Lonchura striata: one gene and its partners. The protein of the gene in region 3 interacts with the protein of the main gene of each other region in a biochemical or structural test. Links are inferred from orthologs where the notes say so. Each region holds a gene or a part of one and is shown on either strand. Other genes may lie near its edges.

Region 1 (7,031 bases), on a different chromosome or scaffold from region 3:
GTTTCCCCTGTGCAGTGTTAACCCTGCTCTCAATGAGATCAGGTTCCACTAAAACTCCATGTGAAGGATTCCAGGGTCATGTCTGCTGGCAGAGCCCCAGGGTGCCTCCTCATGCTGTGAAATCTGATCTTGTGGCTAAGGAGCCCCAGAACTCTCTAAGCTCATCTGTTCCTCACCATTTGGTGCAAATTACCTCCTGCCTGTGTGCAGCCCCTGGACCCTGAAGGTTTCCTTTCCTCTCCTTCTGCTGCCACCCCAAAGCCCAGGGATCCTTTATCTGGCATCCCCTCTCTTTGTAAATCCAGTCTTCTCATGGATTTTGGAATGAAGGACATAGACCTAGGCAGAGCACTGTCATGGCTGGGGAGCTGCACCTGGGCTCAGGTGGGGCTACAGTTGGGAAGTCCCTGTGGGAGGGATTTTGCCATTCCCAAGGCTGCCCTGGGGTCTGATGTCACATCATGCCACCACGCCATTGCTGGTGGCTTTGCCTGGGGGGTCCCTGGAGGTCTGTATCTGCTCCCAGATTCACACAGCCCTGTGGTCCCTATGGTGTCCATCACTCCATAACCAAGACACTTTCCTGGGGATGGAGGACCCTTCCCTTCCTTGGAACCAATCTCCAGCACTGCACAGGGCCATTCCTGGCTGCATTTCCATGGGGCTGGATGGAGCAGGGCCTGGGCAGTTATGACCATCCAAACATGAAGTTGGTCCTGCTGTGAGCAGGCAACTGCACACCCCCAACACGGGGAAATGTTCCTTTTTTGGCATTCCCAGGACCGTTTGTATGGCTGGATGCAGGGATGCAGTGTTGGGAGAGTTTTGTGAGAGCAAGGACCTTGTAAGGATGTTGGAACAAAAGCACAGATGGGTGGAAGTGGAGGATATGGAGGAGGTGGAGGATGTGAAAGATGGGAAAGATGCTGCAGCTGGAGTCCTCTAAGGTTTTGGCCCTGTGAGTGCCTGGCAGTCCTTCCCAGACTCAGACACTACCTGGCTGTGAGCAGCTCAACACCATCCCAGTACAGCCTATACTGACAAATTCTGTATTTTTTGGTGACTTTTTTCCCCATCTTTGGAGTTTTTTTTTTTTCCTAGCCATAAAAACTAATACACCCAAGTACAAAACCTGCATTTTTAAACCATGATAGCAGCTGCTCTCACACAATGAGCTGATCCTAAAGACTCCAGTTTTTGAAAAAAAGCAATCTTAAACTAATATTAAATGAAAGAAAAACACACCACCGCATTGAACTACAAGGAAATGGGAGATAAACTGCACAGAATGATGGGAACCACCCATCTGGGGCTAGGCAGAGCTGTGGTCCTCAGAGAGGTGAAAACAGGGAATCCCAGACTGGTTTGGGTTGAAAGTGACCTTAAAGCCCATCCAGTTCCACCCCCTGCCATGGGCACAAACACCTTCCACTAGCCCAGGTTGCTTCAAGCCCCATCCAATCTGGGATTGAATTTAGGGAAATAATGCACTTGAAGCACCCCAGATATCTGTGGCTCAGCATCATCCTGTCCTGACTGGAGAAAATTACTCAGTCCCAGTGTAACCTCTGTGTGGTGCAGGAGCAGCCACACACTTTGTTTTCCCCCTCTGCCAAATTGAGCAAGAATGAGCACAGAGAAACCCTGATAAAGACATTTGAGGAAACTTGATAAATGTACAAACCACATCCTCTCCAGCCTTTCCGTTTGACTAAGTGATAAGAAGCTGGGCTTTCTTGGCAGATCCCCACCCTACCATTCTGGGGGTGTTTTTTCTCTCGAACCTTTCCCTTCCTGCCAGTGTCTTCCTGGGAATGGGATGCCCCAAACTGAGCACAGGCACCAGAGATATGTGCACAGCCCCAAACTGCAGCTCTATGAATTCAAACTCTTGCAGGGGTTATCCCATGTCCTGTTCTAATGACAGCTCCATCCGGCAGCAAATCAGAGCCTCAGGCTGTTCCTGGGAATTCACTAAAACCTGGAATTCTTTAGACAGAACAATGTTGCTCCAAATCCCAAGTCTAGCCGTGAAAACAATGTGACCAATTTATAAATCACCATTTTTAAATTTCCTTTCAGGCCTAGTCATTAGGAACACACCTGGAGAGGACATAATGCTTTTCCAGGCTTTTCTGTACCTCTGACATTTGAGAACTTTTTAAAAATACAAACTACATTTATCCTGAGATCATATGATGCCAGAAATCAGATTTCTTAAAGAAAAGCATCAAAAAAACCATGAGAAAAATAACACCGGACAGCAATGCTGGCATAATTCCCCCCGCCCCCCCACCCGCACCCTTAAAGTGTCCTGACACTGGGAGGGATTACTTGACATGATTTCTCCCAGAGAATTTCTGTTTATAAAGGATGAAGCCCAAGTCACACCCCAGTCCTTGCATTATAAACTAGTAACCAGAGCCAAACACAGAGCAGGTAGATCCAGTAAGATCTACCACATCCAGTAAGAATAACCCACTAAAGTATGTCTTGATTCTTTAACATAGAAGTTCCTGGCCCCGACCCAGATGAAGCCCAACCGGCCTGAGCAGTGCTTCCTATGTGGGAATGCGCTGCAGCTCAGGCTGCCAGCTCCCCCTCCGAGTGATTTTCCCATGAAATCACAGACCCTGGGAATGCAGAAAGTCCTGGGATTTGTAGAAGTAACAGGCAACATCTTCACTAAATGGCTATAAGCAGTGACAGAAGCGACAGAGTTAACCTACCCCAGCTGCCAGTAGCGCAGAGCAGCAGGATCCCGAGTGTCACGGAAAGTTGATCCATCTTGTCTGAACCCCGGAGTGGGGGGACGGCTTGGACCAGCCCCTCCATGAGTGATGGGCAGCGGCTCTGGAGTAGCTGGAGGCTTTTAGCGGCTGAGGGGGTGAATCACAGGGCTGGGTGAATGACACACACGGCGAGTGGGGCGGCTGGAGGAAACTGCTGCCTCGTCACTTCGGAGTCCGTAGTGTCCCCGCCCGCTATGCCGCCAGCTCTTTATGAGGTTTTCGCTCTCTCGGCTTAAACAAGGACCAAATAAACCCTGGCAGCGAGTCCTCCCTCGGCACTGGTGACCTGCAGCCCCGGAGCTCGTAACAGGCTCTTTCACATAGACTCTTCCGCCTGGCTTTAATTCCTTACAAAACCTTGCTCACTCCTTCCTTTTGTTAACTATTGAAAGGCAGCTGGTTTTAAACCCCGTCTGAACTGCTGGAGTTCAAGGATTCAAGGAGAAATAGAGGAAATGTACATTAATACGAAAGTGTGGGTTCTCAGCTCCCTCACCTGAGAGGGAATATCCCTGCTAAAGCAGAGCTGGGAGCTGAGGGAGACCCAGCCAGGAAGTGCACCTGATGGAGCCAGTAGTTTGGATATAAACCTGGACATCTCAAAGGGAGGGAAGCTCAGCTTGGGGTCACATAATTTGGACCTGATTTTCTTCTCACTTGTATTGTTTTTTTCCCCACTGTGTCCTCAGGAATTGATTCTGTGCTGAACAAATCCAGGGATTGGGATCTGCATAGGCACTGAGCCCACTGAAGCATCAGAACTGCCTGTGGGTGTCTCTTGAAGGTGTTTTACAAACCCCTTGTTCCCCTGCAATACCAAGGTCCTAGTCAAAGCTGGGGAAATTGAGGCACTTGGAATACACATTGGGAGCAAAATGGAGAGAAGGGCTGGAGTAATTTCCCTGGGATGCTCTATCCCACCAGCTGACAAGGGTTGGGGGCAATAATGACACAGTCCTGGCTCAAGACAACCCAGCACACAGAAATACCAAGCTGTGGAATACAAGTTTTTGTGGGTGCCAAGAGCTGCAGACACATCCTGGAGACAATGTGCAGAGAGCTGTACAAGAGCCACAGCCCCATGCTGGGAGATGGGGACAACAGCACTTGTCCCAGACCTGGCAGCTGTCCACAAGAGGTAACAGTTTTTGTGAAGATGAAGTAGCAATACAGACTCTTCCTCAGGACCTGGGGACTTTCCTTGGCTTTAAAAGAAGTTTTGGCCCCTCTTTGCTTCTCCACACTGCCTCACCAACCTTGAGGATGCTGCTGTCCTCTTCAGTGGGGATCACTGTCCAACTGGAATCCAATTGCTTCCCTAGGACTTGTTAATGAAGATTTGGCAAAGGGGACTAGGAGAAGCCCATCAACCCTCATGCAGTATCAAATATGGCTGTACCTTGGCTAAGACAAATCCTAAACCTGGAGCCATATCTCACGGCAGACCCCATTAGCCAGTTTTAGGGCATCTAAATTCCTTATTTTACTTCCTTGACATCCTGCTTATATGGCCTTTCCCATCATGTGGAGCTTTCTGCCCACACGGTTGCCTGTCCCCATGTGCTGTGCTGTGTCATCTTGTGACCATGTCTGAGTGTTTCATGGAAAGGAACATTAGTCTTTATTGTCTAGAGAGGACTATGGCATCCTGTTTGGCTCTGCACACCCCCAGATCCAACCTGCCATCCATCTCCCAGGCTCTCTTCACCAGGGACTCATTCTACCCAGCTCCTGGCTCCCCAAACTGGCAAGTGCTGCTGCTCCCAAACAACATATTACCCTGTGTGTCCTGGAATCCCTTACCCAGGGTGGGCTGTGATACTTTCAGCATGGTGCAAAAATGCTAAAGAAAAAGGAAAAAGTCACAAAATGAAGTGTTTGACCTGTCTTCACTTTCCTGGGCTGGTCCTGCCTGAGGACAAGGATGGAATTAACTCAGTCCAAGATGTTCGGGTGGAATTCCCCTGCAAACTGCAAGAAGGTGCTGCTTGTCCTGAAAACATTGCTGGGATGTGAAATTCCCATACCTGGTAGTGTTCAAGGACAGTTTGGACAGGTTTAGCAGATGTCCTTGCCCATGACAGAGTGTTAGAATGACTTGAGGTTCTTTCCAAACCATTCCAAGATTCCACAATGCTACCTCCAGGCACTGCATAATAGACAGTGGGATGCTCCAGATTTTGGGGTGCCTGGTGGGATGAAGGCAGAAGCCAGCAGGGGAGTGTTTGGGAGCCCTAGCTGACCCATCACCACAGGCTGTGACCCAGGAGCAATGGGTGCAGCCCAAATCCATGCTGGGGTGTGCTGGGAGAGGAGATGCTGGATCTGGAGCCACCAGAGGGAGCAGAAAGTCCTTCAGTCTGAGAGCATGCAGGAAGAGGATCCCCAGTGTCAGGCTGGGGCACTGGGTATATGCTGTGATTTCCTGTGGGATTGTCCCAGGTTAAACACAAGCAGATGCTCCTTGGATCAGGGTTTTCCCCTCCTTCATGCACAACTTCTGCTTCAACTGCCCTAGCAGAGTGGGCAGCAACCTGGAGAGAAATACCAAATCCAGAACAAGGAGGAAAATGCAACAAGTAAACCCTGAACTGAACAGGTCTGAGCCCGTAAAGTCACAGCAGCAGATCAGGGGATCCCAGCTGTCTAAAAGGAAGATCACTTGACACTGTCCCTGCCAAGTTGCCTGCCACCCTCAGCCAGCCATATGTCCCTGACTTGAGCTACAACTCATCAATCGTCATTTTTGTTTTATTAAAATCCCCTAGAAGGTTGGGCAAAGGAAACAAGCCAGTATGTACGTGGATAAACCAGGGCAAAGTCCTCACACTGTGCTTTGGGGGTGATCTGCTACTCTGGGCCGTCCAGACAGATTTCCAGGCAAATGCCAATGGGCAAAGCCAGGAAGCTTGGACATGGCAGTCCTATGGGCAGAGCCTTGGGATGAGCAGGAATAGGAGTAAGCCTGACAAGCTGGACACCCTGGCTCATGGTGTCGCTTTGGGAGCTTGTGCAGACACGGAGATGGGAGTGATGGTGAAATTTCCCCTGGGATTGCCTTGGTGGGGCTGAGGGGCTTGTGATGCTCTGGCCCTGGATGCTGCAGTGACACTGCTGTGGGACCCAAAGCTGGGGATAGAGCAGAGATCAGGGTGCAGTGCCTCCCTTTGGAGGAGCTAAAGTGAGAAGGGGAGGAGAGGGAGACCATGTGCCCTGAGGAAGAAGCCCCCAGCCAGAGGAACAGGAGGAAGAGAGGGGCTGTATCCAGCTCTTCTCTGGAGGCACAGGACAGGAATCACCAAGCAGAGCTGTGGGTGGACTGGCTGGATAGGGCCATGCTGCTCAGAGAAGGAGTGGGTGGCATGGAGCAGCAAGAGTGACAGCAGTGCTGACCTGAGGTTTACAGGAGCCTTTGGGGGAACAGGGACCTGCCAGCAGTCCGGGACAAACATTCACCATGCAAGATGCTTTTGGGAGCAGGTGGGAGGGCTGGAGGGAGGGATGAGCTAGGGACAACTCTGCAGGGCCTTAGGGCTCAGCCCCCACCTGGGGTGGCACAGGGGTGTGTGCAGGCACCTATGGCAAGGCAGAGATGGGGTATGCAGCATGGGGAAGGGGTGGGCAGCAGGGTGAATGTGGAGGGGGAGGAAGGCGGGCCTGGGAAGAGGCTGGAAGGGGGTGGAGTTGCTGTTTTTTCTTTGAGCACGGTGAAGACTTTAGCTTGTAACTTGCATTTGTGGAGCTCCCCCCTGGCAGACACCAGCTCTCCTTCCCCCGGGAGAAACCTCAGGATCCAGCAGTACTGCTTCACTGTTTTGGGAGCAGGCTGGGAGGGCAGGGGGCATGGGGTGATCCCCGTCTGCCATCCTCTCCCCCAGCTCCCTTTCTCCTTTTCTCTCTGTCTCCTTTTGCTTGTTTGGGGGCTCATGCTAATGCTCTGCTAGGAGAGATCGGGATCCAGACATCTGTCGGCTGCACGGACTGGCTTCCCACCTGCTCACAGCCTTGAGGAAGTTCCCTCTCCATCCCTGGGCACTGAGAGAGGAAAGACAGGAGGTTGCTTGGAGCTGCCAAACCCTGGCTTGTGAAGGGTGGACAGGGGGACAACAAGCTTCCCTTTTACTTTCCCTGAAGATTTGGGGTCACACACAGACCATGAATGGATCCTTTTTCAACCAGACTCTCCTGGAGCAGGCAGCTGACCCCAACAGGACTCAGGGCTTGGGGATGCTCATGGCC
Region 2 (8,094 bases), on a different chromosome or scaffold from region 3:
GAGCACATTGCTGAAGTAGAAACCTTATTATTTCCATTAGATTTCCCTTTCAATTTTAAAAAATTTGCATAGTGTAATGCTTACAAACTGCGTTTTATTCACTGAAAAGAAATTATCTTGTCAAAAGAATCCCCTTTAATTACAAAAATTACTTTCCAGACAAGACAATCCTACCAAGTCTTTCCCACAGGCACTCTTTTCTACATTTAACTGAACAAGGTCCTACTCTGATATCACTGAGCTTTCAGAATCAAAACTCCAGCACCAAACAGCCAGGCAGCATGACAAGCAAGTTAACACCCTGAAGTCCTGCAACTGACAAGATGCAAAACTTTTTCAAAAGACAGGTGCACACTCCATAATAAAACCCTGCCTTTCTTTTAATTGGTAAAAGAGACAGAAGCCTTAATTTGAGAAGAAACATTCCTTTTATTTTTGCTGGTTTTAGGCTACTGCACGTTAAGGACAGTGCATGCAGGAGACTCACACGTTGCCTGTGGTGCAGAAGCACCAAGGCTGTGCCTTTCTGCCTCAGAACAAATGGGCCAGTGTGCTTTATGCAGCCCACCAATACAAAATAACCAAACCTAATCCCTTCAACTAACAGCACGCTCACGGATTGCCCACGCCAGCTCACTCAGTAAAATGCCTCCGGGTTTGTTGAGAGCACGCGTTCTATGAACTACGGCAGTTTTAACCTCTCCAAAACCTTTCTATAAACCAAAGATGTACCAATAGCAATTGAGTGCAAGGGTATCCCTGCAGGTTAACTTTGGGTGGCAAGCCTCTATGATGAGGTCTTGCCCAGCTGAAAGAGATTCCTTCACACCACCTGGCAAGAGCACGCCAGTTATCACTGAAGAGACCCTGGCTTTCCCCCAGGATGGAGCCCACTGAAGTTTCACAGTGTTCTCCACGATAAGAATGCATCATCACTCCTGAGACAGCTGGGTTCCTAAACTGGAACTCTGTGCATGCAGGGGCTTTGCTAGTACCTCCAAGACACAATGCTGCAAACTCAGCTCTTACTGCATAAAAGCTAATTAGTGTCACACACCTCAACAATGTGAAGCAGTGTTTCTCTATCAACAGACACCCATAGAATATTGCTATGAATAATTCCTGAAATAACTATGAATACAATGACCCTAACTATAAATATAATGACCCAAAGCATAAATGTACACAACATTCCTTCCCAACAATTTTAGCAGAAAATAAGGAGAACCAAGTATTAAGCCTCAGTAGTCAAAGCTGCGAGCATAAGCAAAACATTTTTAACTTTAAGTATAAACAAGCAGTATACAAAAAAAAAATCTACTTGGCAGCCTACTCTACTCAAATAAATTAGCTCCTATAATATTCCTCCAAATATATTTTTGGCAGATCCAAAAGTTAACAATTTATGGCTACATTTAGTAATAAAAAGTCTTTGAAACTATTTCCAACTGCTGAGGTCTGATATTTAGGAAGGTTTAGATACCTGTCTTCAGTAAAGAGAACCCCTTTCCCATCTGAGAGTTTCAGAATGAAATTCATGTAAAGTTGTACAACTAAAAGTAAAATCAAATGGTGGTCCAACTGAAAGGGAAACGCTGCAAGAGGGGAAAAAAAAAAAAAAAAAAGCCATTTGAGAATGCAGCTCCAGAGTTCCTAACACCAGCTAGTTCAGGATGTGCAATAATCTGGGGTAACTCAGCATGAATTGAAGAAAACTCATCTGTCCAGCTTAAACAGAAATCACTGAAAATCATCTTCAAGCAAATGCATGTGAATCATTTTGGCTAATGAAAAGATAACCCTCAAGCCGAGAAACTTACGTAAATTACATTTCTCCTAATTCTGCCAAAAAACATTAAAGAAAATGGATTTGCCAAAGATAAAAGCAAAGTAGGCATGATAGATCATCCATTAGCAATACAAGTATGGCTAATTCTTCCTGACAGTGAAATGTCTTGGGATGCAACCCACTTTATTTTTTTTTTTACTAGATGAGTGTGTTTAGATGCTGTATATCCTACACATTTTATACCCTTATATCATAGACTTCACTACTAGTGAGATTTTACAAAAATCAGGCCTTAACAACAACCTATTAAGAAGAGAAAACATATGGGCAACTTAAAGTATTTCAGTGTAGTAAAAAAAAATTAAAAATTAAATAGGAGCTTTATAATATCTGCAAGTATTGCAAGTAGTTTAAAATGGTACAAATTAATACAGTTAATCTGAATTAATAACAAGAAGGAAAAAGTCACATGCTTATGAGGAATCACAAGGGCAGAATTAATATTGCACTCTACTCACTGTTAGAACAACTAGTGAAGTAGTTTGGGCTTTACTTTTTTCATAAATGCATTTCTGACGTGCAAGGTTGTACTGCATTCTCTAGCATACAACTTTTATTTATTCATGTAAACGTCAGAAATCCATCAGCAAACAAAGCCATATGGAAGAAAAAGAGATATAATGGATTTTCTGTTTGCTTTAGAAACTTGACATCTGCGGATAGCATCATCCAACTTACAATGCAATCACTATTCGTATTCTGGTCATTTTCATTTACCAATCCAAAACGCATTTTATCTAATGATACAAAAAGCTCTGGGAATAGGATAGCAGAGAAGAAATAATGTTTTAGAAAGTTAAAATGGGAATATACTTTAATATTTTCCCTTTCACATCATAAATTCAGAGAAAAGCAAACTCACATCTGTTCTAACTTAGCTTTTAAAAAACGAAGAAAACGCATCAGGATTATTTATATCTTGTCTGTATTTGTGGCAAGATTTTCGGGGCCGGAGCGAGCCGCGGGTGCCACCTGAGCTCCGCCAAGTTCCCGGGGGCCGGGCTCGCGGTACTTACCCCCGCAGAGCAGGAGGAGCCCGGCTGTCCGCGCCGCCGAGCGCATCTTCCCCGCGCGGTGCGGCCCCGCCTCGGCGCTCCGGGCGGCACCGGCCGGGCTGCCGGACGGTCCGCGGGTCTCAGTCGGGCCGGCCCATGGCCCGGGCCGGCGGCAGCACGGAGCCGGGCGCGGACGGGACAGCCCGCGCCGGGATGCTTCTCCGCCGCTCCTTCTCTCGGTCCTCCTGGCTCCGGTGCCGCCCCGCCGCCACCGGCCGGGAAGAAAGCGCCTCGTTCCCTCGGCGGTGCCGGCGCCTCTCGGGCTCTGCGGGGAGAGCGAAGTCAGGAGCGAAGCCTCCGCTCCGCCGCGCCCGGCGCCGAACCCCCCGCGCTGCCCGGGCGGCGGCACCGCCCGGCTCCGGCCAGCCCCCGGCCCCTCCTCCGCGGCCGCCGGGCCGCTCTGCCCGGGCCGCCCCGCCCCGCCCCGCCCGCGGAGCCTCCGCCGAGGGGCGGCCCCGCCCCGCGCATCCCCGCGGGCAAGGTGCGGGGCCGGGCACCGGCCCGCGTCCCCCGGCCCCGCGGGCAGCAGCGGGGAGCGGGCGGCAGGAGCGGGAGGCGGCGGCCTGAGGGAGAAGACCGGCGAGCCGCGCAAACACACCAGGTGCGAGACAAAGCGGGGACAGGCGCTGCGGCACCAGGATGTGCCCGAGTGGCCGTCTTCCCCGTCAGCCGAAACACATTAAACGTGTTGAATAATTAATCCTTAGGAGAGGAGACAGTTTTTGCTTGATGGTAGGAGGATGCTGTAGAAGATGTGCGCTACCTGGCAGGCAACCAAAGTAACCCGGAACGCGCGCGTCCCGCTGAGCGGCGAAACGCCACTTTTAAACCGCAAGCGGGAGGGGGTGGGGGGCGGGAAACCTAACCGAGCCAAAGCTGAAATACGCTGTGACAGGTCGGGCTGGGCGAGAAAAGCACTCCGAAAAAGCCGCCGCTCACAAACGCCGCCCCGAGCCCCGCCGCCGGCGCTGCCTCCGCCCGGCGGCCCCGCCGCAGCGCCCGGCCCGCCCGCGCCCTGCCCCGGCTGCCGCGGCCGCGCCGGAGCCGCGGGCAGCGCGGGATGGGCGGGCACAGCCTCCCGACACCCGCGGGCGCAGCCTCCCGACACCCGCGGGCACAGCCTCCCGACACCGACCCCCGCGGGCGCAGCCTCCCGACACCCGCGGGCACAGCCTCCCGACACCCGCGGGCACAGCCTCCCGACACCGACACCCGCGGGCACAGCCTCCCGACCCCCGCGGGCACAGCCTCCCGACCCCCGCGGGCGCAGCCTCCCGACCCCCGCGGGCACAGCCTCCCGACCCCCGCGGGCACCGCGCCCGCGCAGCCTCTGGAGGGGCCACGGCGACTGCCGCCTGACACAAACCCTGCCCCGCTCCCCGCACCTCTCCTGTCACGGCATCTTCAACCTGCCGAGGAGATATTTATTTTCTGCTCCTCTCCCGAAAGACGATGCTGCTTCCACACAGCCGCGCTGCTCCAGAGATCTGGTCGTCAGGATTCAGACACAGATCAGCAGCTACAGTGTTCGGCTTCACCAGCCTTCACACTCTGAAACGCCCAAGCAAGGTCAAGTAGACACACAGAGTAGATAACCCGATGCCGTTGCACCTAGCAAGAATTGCTGTAGATTATTTAAATATAAGTCAAAAAAGAAATTCTCTCTCTAGGTTAGTAAGGACTCTGCTTACAATACCTAGCACTTTAAGAGGCGAAGTACGAGAAATAGTACTACAGGAATAGTAAAAGAACTAACCTATTTTAACTTTTCTGTTAGATCTTCAAGTTAAATTTTCTTCCATGGTCTTCATAAGGCTTGGGAAAACAATAAGCCAAGTCAAAGCAACTAGAAGGGTAATAATGAATTTGAGATGAGCAATAATAACCACCATTAATTAATTGCTTTTGAAGCTGCCTGTCACATAGTATAAATTAAACTTTTGAGTACTTACTCACGTGTCAAGTGTTTGTGGGGCTTTTGCAAGTGCCTGAAAGAGGAAACTGAGAAGGTTACTTGGGAAGTCTTTGTGAACCAAATGAAAGTCTATAGCAAAGAAAGCAACACATAAAACATTAACATTAAATCAATGCTTTGTGGAGAAATGTCTTAGGTTAAGCTAAGCTTTATCTTAAATCATATTTAAAAGCTCGTGCAGTATACAAATCAATATTGATGCCATCTAAAATACACCACTATCATCTGCACTGATAAATGCCAGTTTTCATCCAGGACAAAGTGACTTCTTGGAAGAATTTCAAGGACTTACAATCTCTTCTGGCATCTCAGCAACTGAAGCCAAAGCTGTACTCTTCTGCCAGCTTCAGGCTCTGCTCCAGCACACTAAAACTGGTTTTAGATGCCATCATGTTCGTCATGCAAGGAACAGAAGTAAGGTCACCAGAATAATTTTTTCATTTGATTTCCAGGCTTTTAAGCTAAGCAGTTTTATGTGTTTTCAGAGAATTGTAGCTTACACACAACGCACCTGGAAAAAACTATCCAACTTGGATGAAATACGTGTGTCTTCTGTGTTCCAGCTACTGTGATCACGTCTCTCATGTTAATGTAGTCACCATTCTTCCTGAAACTGCTGTCCTTTATGTCAGCACTGGTATATTGAGGAAACATAGTTCAGCCAGGAATTATAGCCTACCATACAGAAGACAAAAATAACATAAGTGCAGCATCTCTCAAATCCTGGAAAAGCCTATCAAAATTGAGGCATTTTAAATTTTCCACTTGAAATTCAAACTTCAGGAGAAAAATCTTAAACCCTTCATGCCCAGCCTGGTTTCCACATCCCTGAAGAGGCCCAAGACAGGCTGTGAACCATCTGCCCTTGAGTTTACATGAGCCATACAAGCCTATAGCAACCATCTCTTTCCAACAGCTAACTTCTGCTGCACTATGCATAAAATACACTTCCACGTCATTCACTTGGTTTCTTTGTCTGAAGGCCTTTTGAAAACTGAATGAAAATCTGTGCTTGTAAATGGGGAATAAAAAAGCGAGGTGTCCTTAATTTCCCAGAAAAACTCAAGCTTTGCAGTGGCATCTCCCATCATTCTCCTAGCAGAAATACTTTGGAAGTAAATCAACACTTTCCTGCAGGCTAGTGCAATTGCAAAACTATGGCTCATACTCCTTCTCTTCCCCCCACCCCTCTGCTTTGACTCATTTATTTGGCACAGCAGGCTGAACTATTAAATTATTGTAGGTTTTCCTTTTATAAAGGCACCATGAGATGTCTCGATACAATAATGCTTCCTGAAACTGATGCTGATTGATAACTGTTTCTTGGTTTCATCACAAGTCTTATATCATGTTCATTTAGCATCAGGGCAGGACACTTCAGGACTCTTTCACCTTTCTATGTTTTCCAAACAGTCATGCACAAACACTGAAATATTTTCGGGTAAAACCCTTCCTAGGATATTGTATTTAAAATACAATTCTCGATCAGTTCAGGGCTTGAATACTTTTTTCCCCCATGCTATGAAGTTGGTTACTGTAGAAACTCAGTCTGAGATGCTGCTGTTGATCATGTAGGACAAAACTATTTTAAACCTACAAAAATGGGTTATTAACATTCAACACTATTTTGTGATCAAACTGTCAAGTCTTTCATACAGTTACAACTACGGTGGCACTAAACAGATATTCTTCCTGAGGTAGATCTAATAGTAAAAGGACAGATTAAACTTTGATCCTGACAGTGACAAAGAATTTATCTGCATGTCATACTTAAAGTTCTTATATACATGTTTTTCCACAATCCCTGGGCTTTATTTTCCTATCCTTCTGTCAATTTCTTTATTTTCTATTTGTTAGATATTGCTAACATATAAACTGCACAGTATCCATATTATCTATTTAATTTCTATCCACTTGAGAGCATCGAAAGAGCTAAAAGCTCTTTGTTTTCCCAAAATACTCATCCAAAAGTGCTATGAATTGGTCAGAAACACTGACTACCATGAAGAAGCAGCAAACTTGTGCTAGGAGATGTCTCCATCTTGGCACCTAGAGAAGGGAACCAAGAAGCTATTTCTTTCAAGTCAGGAGGAAAGAAGTCATACTTGTGGAGAAAGTGCTACAGACTGTCCTGATAACAAGAAGTTTAAGCAAGAGCTTAGGATTGTCCAATAAATAGATAGATTTCAAGGCAAAACCCAGATTCTTGTGAAAGCAGTGACTGGCATAAGTGAAGATGCTCTTTGAGGGAAGGCAGAACATGAGCCTGGGCCAGGACCATGACCAGGAAGAATGAGTGTCCTTTGATGACCTGACAAAGCTGTCCCTCCTGGGAGCGGGCTGCACCAGGACTGCCCTCATCTGACCTCACTGCTGCTTCTTGGCAATAAAATTCTAAATTCCTTCAACAACATTAGTTTGTGTCACTGTAAATGTAATATAAAGCCTTTTTAAAAATACATTAATCCTCAAAAATTGCGTGATTTCTGGCCATCAGATTGTTTCACTGAAAGCATGAAATCATAAATCACAATGTCTGGTGCCATCAGAAGTCAGTACCAAAATAGGTCTCTAACCATTTATCTGAAATTTTCAAATGCTTGCCTTTATTGCTGCAGGTTTCCATGAAGCACAGGATGACTATGCTGGAGCATTTCCATGCAGAGAGGAAACAAATTCTCCCAATATTTGCAAACAACAGGTGCTTTTTTGTTTCAATTCTGTTCATAATCTCATGTCATATTGCATCTATCTTGTTACAAAAACCCTCTAAAACTAACAGGAAATGAAAGCTCAGGACATAAAAGTTTTCATGTCTAAGGATTGTCCTGGAGGTGCCATGGAGGCAGCTATTATGTCAGAAAAAGGCATTTGGAGCGAAGTCACTTGGATACACACTAGCACTCGACCACTGTACTTTCATTAATGTGAGTTCCAAACGCAGAGAAATCCAAAGGTATGATTTCTGTACTCTCGTGGAGCAGCAGGATTACAGGAGTGTGAGTGCATGAGGATGTGCACCTTGCTGTGATGATGAGCACTGCCTCGGGTGAGCGAGCCTGCAAGCCTGGTGTGCCTGCAGCAGAGCTGTGCCGTTGCACCGCCGCAGGAATATCCCCAGCTAGCATCAGGGACAGGGCTGATGACTCATGGTTATCTCATTTGCACAGACAATCCTTTTTGCCTGGAACCATACTATAGCATAAACCCAACAG
Region 3 (7,801 bases):
AGCAGCCGGATTAACACACTTCTGCATTTTATAGCAAGTTGTGCGCAACCCTTTTTGAACCACAGGCACGCTTCTGAGCCAATCCCAAAATGCTGAGGGGGAGGGGTTAACCTTGGTGGGGTCCCACCACTTCCCCAGGAGCTGCTGCGGCTTCCTCCATCTCACCCCACGCAAGGTGAGCAAAACCAAGACAGCGGTGGAGGCTCCAGGCTCTGCCTCAGAGCAGGGCCAGTGCAGGCAGGGCTGTGGGCAGACAGGACATGTGTGTCCCAAAGAACCGCGTCATTGCTGGGGACCACTGACAGTGAGTTTTTGGTCACACGATGGAATTACTGTATTTCTGTTGGATGACTTCACTGCTGAAGTAACAGTTACATTTGAAGGGTTTGCGTCTTAAAAGACAAAAAAAATTAAGCAAAATTCAACTGTGGACAGCTGGAACACTTGTGATGAGTTTCCAGAACAAGCTGCAAATCTTCAGATGCAACAGTTCTGCCATTTTTATTACGTTCTCTCTTAAGGGATACTTTGAAAGAGGTTTTGGAATGGGGTTTGGTTTTTCCTTCTTTTATGGTAATACCAAATTTCACCTGGGAAAGGCCCCACTGCAGACCACCTCTGGACTAGGAGCTGGCTGCAGGAAGCTTCATCAGCTGCAAACCATCCCAGTGCTGGGGCTTTCCACAGGCACAGCCCAGCCAGTACAGCCACTGGCACAGCTAGGAAGATACCAGGCCACCAAAACGCAATGTCTGCAACAGTGGCTTGGCCAGCATGTAAACATCTGCACACCATCAACACCAAAAATTAAGCTGGTAAGAAGCCAGACTAGGCTCTAGCTGGGTTCTCCTGTGTTCTCCGGTGCAGGACCAGTATACACAGCCACAGCAGGCAGAGGTAGGCAGAGCTCAGCCCTGCACCAATGGGAAGACTGAGCCAGCAGCCCCAGCTGGTTTAGTGTCACACGCTGCTGAGACCGTTCAACCCAGTTCCTCTTTCCCAGCTGCATGTCCACGTCAGATGGGAGGACAGTTTCTTCCAGCTGAGGCTGAGCTTGCTCCTGGGGAGCATGAGTGGCTGTCAAGGCCAGACACTGCACCCCCATGACCACTCCGCTGTTAGCCATGGCTAGGACAGGCGCATCCTCTCACTCCTTCAGGGAGAGCAGCCCTGTTCTGCATGGGAAATGGGCAGGGGCCAAACAGCTGGGCTGGAGGATCGCAGCCGCAGCCTGCCTGCCTGCTCACATGCACTGAGCTGAAGCAGCTCCAGCTATTGTCTGCCAATGTTTCACACACATCTCACATCCTGTCTGCTCCTGCTGGGCATCGCTTGACCTCCAAAGGAATGGAGCACAAATCATGGCACCTCTAGACTGCCCATGATGAAGGCAGGCATGGTGGGACCCCAGCTGCAGCCTCTCCTGCATCCTTAGCAAGCTGGCCCTCTAGCACAGGACTCCAAGAGCAGGAGTTGAGTTGCAGTGGATGCTGTCATGACCTCTGGAAAGCACTAAGTGCCCTGATCCAAGCACCCATGCTTCCCACAACAAGCAACTTGCCCAGCACTGTGCTGCTGGACAGGCAGAAAGGTGAAAGAAAGAAGAGAGCATGGCTGCATTTTTGGGTCATTTGCTGGTCAGCAGCCAGCAAAGCTCAGTTCTGAAAAGAAGGGCACCCCACAGGCCTCTTTTCATTTTCCTCAGCCTTCCCACTCCCCCTTCCCTAAATCTAATAGGATATGTCACTTTGGGGAGCATCAAATTCCTGCCACTGCCATTCAGCAAGGAAACTGATGCTTGGGTGGTACTTCCCATGCACCATCACAGATTCACTCAGCACTTGGGCGGTTTCACCCTATGATCCAGGGAAAGGCAGGTGGTCTGGAGCTTTTATTAGGCAGCTCACAGGTTTTGCAAAACTAAAGATCCCAAAAATATGCGCCCTTCCCTTCTCAGCAGCAAGGCACAGAGAGAGAAGGGAGTAAACAATTATCGCTACCAAATATGGGTCTAACAGGCAGCGATGAAGACACGGCAAAAGCATGTAGACATCCTGCCGGCAGATTCAAAGGGATGGGGAGCTTGCAGGGGCTCGGGCAGGATCCGGCAGGGAACAGGCAGAAGATGGGGCAGCGTTTCTCCCTGCTTGGTTAGTTGTCTCAGCCGGGATATGGTGGGGACCCAAGCCTTCCCCGATTAGGGCCAGTCCCACCCTGCATGGGAACCACCCCAGCGCCCCATCCTGGGGCCTATAGCCAGCTGTGTGTCCTAGTGAGAACTGTTCGGGTGACGTCCCTGGCTTCGGTGTGGTCACGGGAAGCCCTGGTGTCCCCACCCAAAACCACGCAGCAGGACACGGACACCCTTGCCACGCGCTTTTCCCCACGTCCCCGGCAGGGTGGGCGGGATGCCCCGGGAAAAGCCGCGCCTGGCCTACGCGGACTGTTGGCCACGGCCAGGCTTGTCCAGCTCGGTCCCCAGAGACCCCCGAGGTGGGGATGCTGGCCCGGGCCTCGCCACGGTGGACTCCAGGCCAGAGCCTGCTGAAGCAGGGCAAGTACAAGGCCGGGATAACGTGGCCGGGGATAACGTGGCCGCGCCAGCCCATGTTACCCCGGAGCCTCCGGCGGGTGTCGGTGCTCCGGCGGCGCCGGTGCCAGGGGCGATCTGGGCATGCCCCAAAGTCTGAGCGAACCCCGGAAGCCCTCGGGTCACCGCAGCCCCACGGACAAACCCCGGTTGGAGCAGGGAAACCCCGGTAACCGGAAAGCTGCTTCCTCCCTACCTCCCCGCCACGTACCGGGGGGGTGCAGGGCAGGGTCCCCAGGACATCCGTTTCCGGCAGCCCCCCGAGACTCAGGGCCCTACCGGTCCGCAGGACCCCACTCCGCAGCCCCCAGCCCCCGGTTACCGGGACACCGAGTGTCCTCCGTCCCCGTACCTTTGCGCGGGCAGGAGCAGCGCGGCGGCCCCGCGTCGCTGAGGGGAGCTGAGCGGCCGGCACCGCCCGCTTCCCGCCCCCCCCACCCCGCCACGCGCATGCGCCAGAACGCGGCGCCGCGCTGCACGGTGCCTCGGCGCTGCGCTCCATCCGGACACCGCGCCACGGGCAATCCGCTCCCACGGACAGCGCTCTGTACCCGCACGACTCGGCCCGACGCCCCGGGGCTGGTCACGGTTCCGCGCCCGCGCAGCGTGGCCGTGCTCCACCTGCTGCTCACATCGCACTCCCGGGCGCCCGCCCGCCCCGGGACACCCCCGGGGCTCGGCATGACCCCGGACCCACCGCCCTCCCTTCAACCCGTCTCCCCCATTCCCTCCGCTCCCCTCTTTTCCCGCCCCGCCCCGCGCTCCCGCCGCCCGCGCGCGCTCCCGCCGGCCACGCGCCCCCCTCCTCCTAGCCAATAGGCGAGCGGTGCGTCAGCGCGGGAGGAGCCGGGGCGGCGCGCGCGGGGCCCGCCGGGACACTGGGTGGCGTCACCGCGGGGCGTTGGCAGCGGCGAGGCGGAGGTGAGGGGCGGCTGGGCGCGGGCTCGACCGGGGGTCGGGGCTCCGCTGCTCGGAGGTCCCGGCGGTCCGGGCAGCCGGGTCCGGCCCGCAGCCGGGGCTGAGACGGGCTGCTTGGTTCTCCTCGGGTGGATGTGCCCGCCCCTGCGCTCCGCTCGCCTTTCTGCCGCACCTGCTCCTCCTGTTCCCGTCCTGCCCGTGCTGCCTGCCCGGCGCACGCTCCCTGGGGGAAACCGTCTGTGGAAGCCATGGGCCCTGACATTGCCCGGATTTGCCCAGCTCCTCTTCCTCTTGTTGCTGAACTTTCTGCTGACAGCTCTCCCCTTAGTCAGCTGGCTCAGCAGTCCTGGCTGGGGACTGCGCTGGCCCTCTGGTTTTGGGAGGGGTTTCAGGTGGTTTTGGTGGTATTCTATTTTTTCTGGGTTTTTTTTTTTTTTTCAGACCGTGACACTTGACAGCTAGATGTGAAAGCTTAGCAGTGCTGATGGAGAGGTGCCATGGATGCCTGTGCTCTGACAGCCTGAGTGGTGCCTTGGCTCAGGCATCGCCCACAAGCCGGCCGGGCTGATCCCGCCGAGAGCCATGCGAGGCCGCATCTCCTCAGGGACCGAGGCTCCTGGGCCATGCCTTGTCAGGACATAACAGCAGCAGCCCGAGCTGGGACCAGGCCAAGCTAAAGCTGCCACAGCCACGCAGGTGCACAAGCCCCAGGGCAGTGTTTGGCTGCAGGTCCCTCACTGCCCTCCCCGTACCTGTGGCCGCCTCCAGCCGCTGAGCTCTGCTGCTCTCACGCCGCTGGGCCCTGACGTCCCTGGCAGCAGGGACAGCTCTCCAGGTCACTCCTCAGGGCAGAGAGATTCTTTACCAGTGTCTGATCTCTACAGTAAGGTAAGGAGCATTTTACTTTCAGCCTAAAGGTATACTGTGTGCTAGTGACCTTTATATATATCCATCTATTTATTTGTTTCATCCCCTTACTTATTACGAGTGTGTTAAACAGTACTGTGTTTGACAGCTGTCTGAATTGCTAAGTCATCATATAGGTCTGTCAAATCACTTATTAATTACCTTTCAATGATCACTTAATCACCATTTGATTGCCATTTAATTTTTGCTCAGTCATCGATTACTTAGAATTTGATCATGATTTAATCATTAACAGAATCCCTTTGGTTAAAACCTCAGCAAAGACTGTTCTTAATTTTCCTGGCACAGGAAGCTCTCGCTGCATACCAAGGGGTATGGCACCTTCAGGTTTCTGTGGAACAGCAGAATCTTGCCTGCTCTCCACACCATTAAGTCTGGGATTGTTTCATTTTTCCTGTCCTTTCTGCAGCTTTTATGCTCTGGGTGGAGCATGGCTCCTGTGGCTGGGTCCAAATAACCTTGTATTGTCACCATTGGTGCTATAATGGCAGAAGGAGATGTTACCTGGCTGGAGAAGTACTTGTGAACTGGCCATTCCTGCTGTTGACATTGCATGGGGATACTTCATAGGGTCTGAGGGACACCTTAAAGCAAGGCTGGTGTCTCCTGTTGTGTCTGTGCTCACTTTGGGTGTCCTGCTCAGATGTCATGCCCAGAGGAACTGGATGCCCTGGCAGATGTGGATCTGCTTGACTTTCTTCTGAAGGAGGATGCTCCCTGCCCTGAAATCCCAGGGGAGCAGAATGGTCTGCTGGAAGACTGGGGCCTGCCAATGCCTGAGGTGAGTTCTTTGTAAGGAATTGCTGCTGAGCTGAGGTTTAGGAGGTTTGTCTCCCTGCTGAGTAAAAGCTATTCCTCTGCAGCTCCTGGACAAGGAGATGGATGACTTCATCAGCTCACTGCTGAGCCCTTTAGAAGATGAACCAGACAGGCTCAGTTACTTGCCTGCCAACAATGACAGCAGCATTTCTGAGGATCAGCTTCTGTCCCATTGCCTCAATAGCAATTTTGCGAGCCGAGACATTGTGCACGTTGATCATAACTACTCCCTTCATCAAGAGTGGCCTACACTGGAAAGTGTGAGGTCTGACATGGCAGAAGGAGATGTTACCATTGAGCTAGGTGAGTGATGTTACGGACTCTTTGTGCCCTGGCTGCAGGCAGAAAAGAGAAAAGTAGTCCCATACTGGTTTGTTTTGGGGGTGTCAGGCAAAGATGGAGAGAGCCAAGATTAAAGGCTTTCTGCTGTTATAAAATTGCTATTTCATGCCACTCAAAGCTGGCTGGTCAGGTGCTGCCTCAGTGAGGCCCAGCATTTGACTCATCTTTCCTTCCCCAGGGGCATGGGTAGGTTTGGAAAGTACAAGTGAGGCACTGGAACAGAGCACCAGTTCCCCCGTTGCTGTTGCTGTGGAAGATGAACCCCAGCTTGTGCCTGGAGCCATTGTACAGGTACTGACTCCCATGCCTGTGGACCCCAGCCTTTGCTTCTCACATTTCTCCTTCTCTTCTGACTTGGCTCCTGTGAGGGGTATCTCTGAGGGAAAGCATGACATTACTTTGGAAGAGCTGATTCCAGTTCTGTGTGTTTGCTATGTGCCCTTGCTGGCGGATGGACTCCCTGTAGTATGCATTCTCAGTAGGCTTATTTTTGCTGTTTTCTAGTCTGACTTCCCAGAGCTGGTCCTGACAGAGGAGGAGAAGCAGCTCCTGGAGAAAGAAGGTGTTACATTACCAACCTGTCTGCCACTGACCAAAGTGAGTCCTCACTAGAACCATGCAGACCACTCTTAATGTATCAGGTATCGTAGGGGTTTGAAACTGCAGGACAGTGCCTTGATGAGAATATGTTGTCCAGATGCTGCATTCCAGGCAGTGTTCATCTGGGCTCAGTGTCCTTTTCCTTCTTTCGAGTCCAGGGCATTGTCCATGTGCACAGCAGCTTCTGGCTGCTGTCAGTCTCCAGACTTGTGGCTGTTTGCAGGAGGCAATTACACCACGAGTGCCTGCAGCTATTTTTTCCTGCTTGCCTAGTGGCTTGTGGTCTGTGTGCTTTTCATTTTCCTTAGGTACGCCTTACTTTTGCTGAGTCACGGAAGCTGCTGGCTGCACCAGCAAGGCCAGGGTTTGCCTTGCAGTTTATTCACTGGTGTACGAAGGACAGAGGACACAAGCACTAGGGCTGAGGATTGATATGTGAGCGCAGTCTGAGAGGGTGGGATTGCCAACACCCTGGGATTGCTGTTAATGAGGTGAACCTTGCAGGCTGAGGAGCGAGTTCTGAGGAAAGTGCGTCGTAAGATTCGGAACAAGCAGGCAGCTCAGGATAGTCGTCGCCGGAGGAAGATCTATGTGGATGGCCTAGAAAACAGGTATGGTCACACAGGAGTGTCACCAATACTGAGGGGACCCGTATGTTCTTTTAAGGGATCCTTGGCAGAATGATGATGGCCCTTAATTGTCATTTCAATCAGAACTTCATTTTCCTATCATGTTATGATTAATATAGCAGAGGATTTGTGATTACAGTGGCACAGTTTTTCTACAAGCAGAATCAATGTAGTACACTCTATAAGCAGTGTAATACAGGATCTATCGTGCAACTTAACAATTTCTAATCACCTGCATTCTAATACATCTTAAGTTACAATTTCTAGTCACCTGAGCCCTCTGCAGATTGGATCAGATCTTAATAGATGGTTCTGTGTATTAATATAATGCTCATAACATAGATTCAAAAATGATACAAATAATTCAAGTCTCTCCCTCAGTCATGGGAGGAAGCAGGCAATGGTAGATGTGTCCCTGAGCAGAGGGATCCTGAGCTGTCCAGCAGAAATTTTACTCCCAAGGTGCCCTTAGGACTTTCTAATTGATTCTGTAGACAGTGTGCTCTGTGTTGTACTTCCCTGCTCTGTGATATAGCTGTCAGCAACACAGAGCTGGCTCTGTGCCAGCGACCTTCAAGACTGGTAAGAGGAAGGACTGGTGCCCAGGAGCTTTCAGGCTGGCAGAGAGAGGAAGAAGAAATCTGTTTGTTTTGGTACTTGGTGTACAGGACCTTCAGTGGCAGATTACAAGGGGAAGGGAATGAATACATGACTTGGTGGGTCACAGAATTGCTGCTCCTCTCATGCATGGCCTTAGTTGTACTGACCACAGTGCCAGGTCCAGGATCAGGGGGTGCCTGTCACAAGCTGCTGTGCTGTTCAGTTGCTGGGCTTCTGTCACCCTGAGCAAAAAGTGAGGCTGGCCCTGTGGGGCAAGAGCTCCCTGCAGAGGGTTCAGAACACCAGGGTGAAGCCTGTCTGGTGCTCTTGTGCTTGGAGATGGTCCAGATTTTGCTCTGGTCAAGCCCAGTAGCTG

What was found.
Region 1: the proteins of TLN1 (region 3) and ITGB3 form a complex in vitro, tested with the Homo sapiens proteins (6 studies listed by BioGRID and IntAct, with this or other methods). The link is inferred for Lonchura striata from reciprocal best matches to the Homo sapiens genes TLN1 and ITGB3.
Region 2: the proteins of TLN1 (region 3) and RET interact in a surface display test, tested with the Homo sapiens proteins (2 studies listed by BioGRID and IntAct, with this or other methods). The link is inferred for Lonchura striata from reciprocal best matches to the Homo sapiens genes TLN1 and RET.

Annotation. Positions count from the first base shown.
Region 1 is NC_134627.1:1,249,179-1,256,209, forward strand, and holds the start of ITGB3 (integrin beta-3), read right to left. Parts: upstream 3,032-7,031; 5' UTR 2,836-3,031; coding exon 2,730-2,835; intron 1-2,729. Other genes in the region: RPRML (reprimo-like protein), read left to right, coding at 6,948-7,031. UniProt on the Homo sapiens protein: Integrin alpha-V/beta-3 (ITGAV:ITGB3) is a receptor for cytotactin, fibronectin, laminin, matrix metalloproteinase-2, osteopontin, osteomodulin, prothrombin, thrombospondin, vitronectin and von Willebrand factor.
Region 2 is NC_134609.1:8,398,073-8,406,166, forward strand, and holds the start of RET (proto-oncogene tyrosine-protein kinase receptor Ret), read right to left. Parts: upstream 3,008-8,094; 5' UTR 2,912-3,007; coding exon 2,866-2,911; intron 1-2,865. UniProt on the Homo sapiens protein: Receptor tyrosine-protein kinase involved in numerous cellular mechanisms including cell proliferation, neuronal navigation, cell migration, and cell differentiation in response to glia cell line-derived growth family factors (GDNF, NRTN, ARTN, PSPN and GDF15).
Region 3 is NC_134642.1:39,589,130-39,596,930, forward strand, and holds the start of TLN1 (talin-1), read right to left. Parts: upstream 3,022-7,801; 5' UTR 2,943-3,021; intron 1-2,942. Other genes in the region: CREB3 (cyclic AMP-responsive element-binding protein 3), read left to right, coding at 5,079-5,216, 5,299-5,557, 5,775-5,887, 6,101-6,193, 6,701-6,807. UniProt on the Homo sapiens protein: High molecular weight cytoskeletal protein concentrated at regions of cell-matrix and cell-cell contacts. Involved in connections of major cytoskeletal structures to the plasma membrane.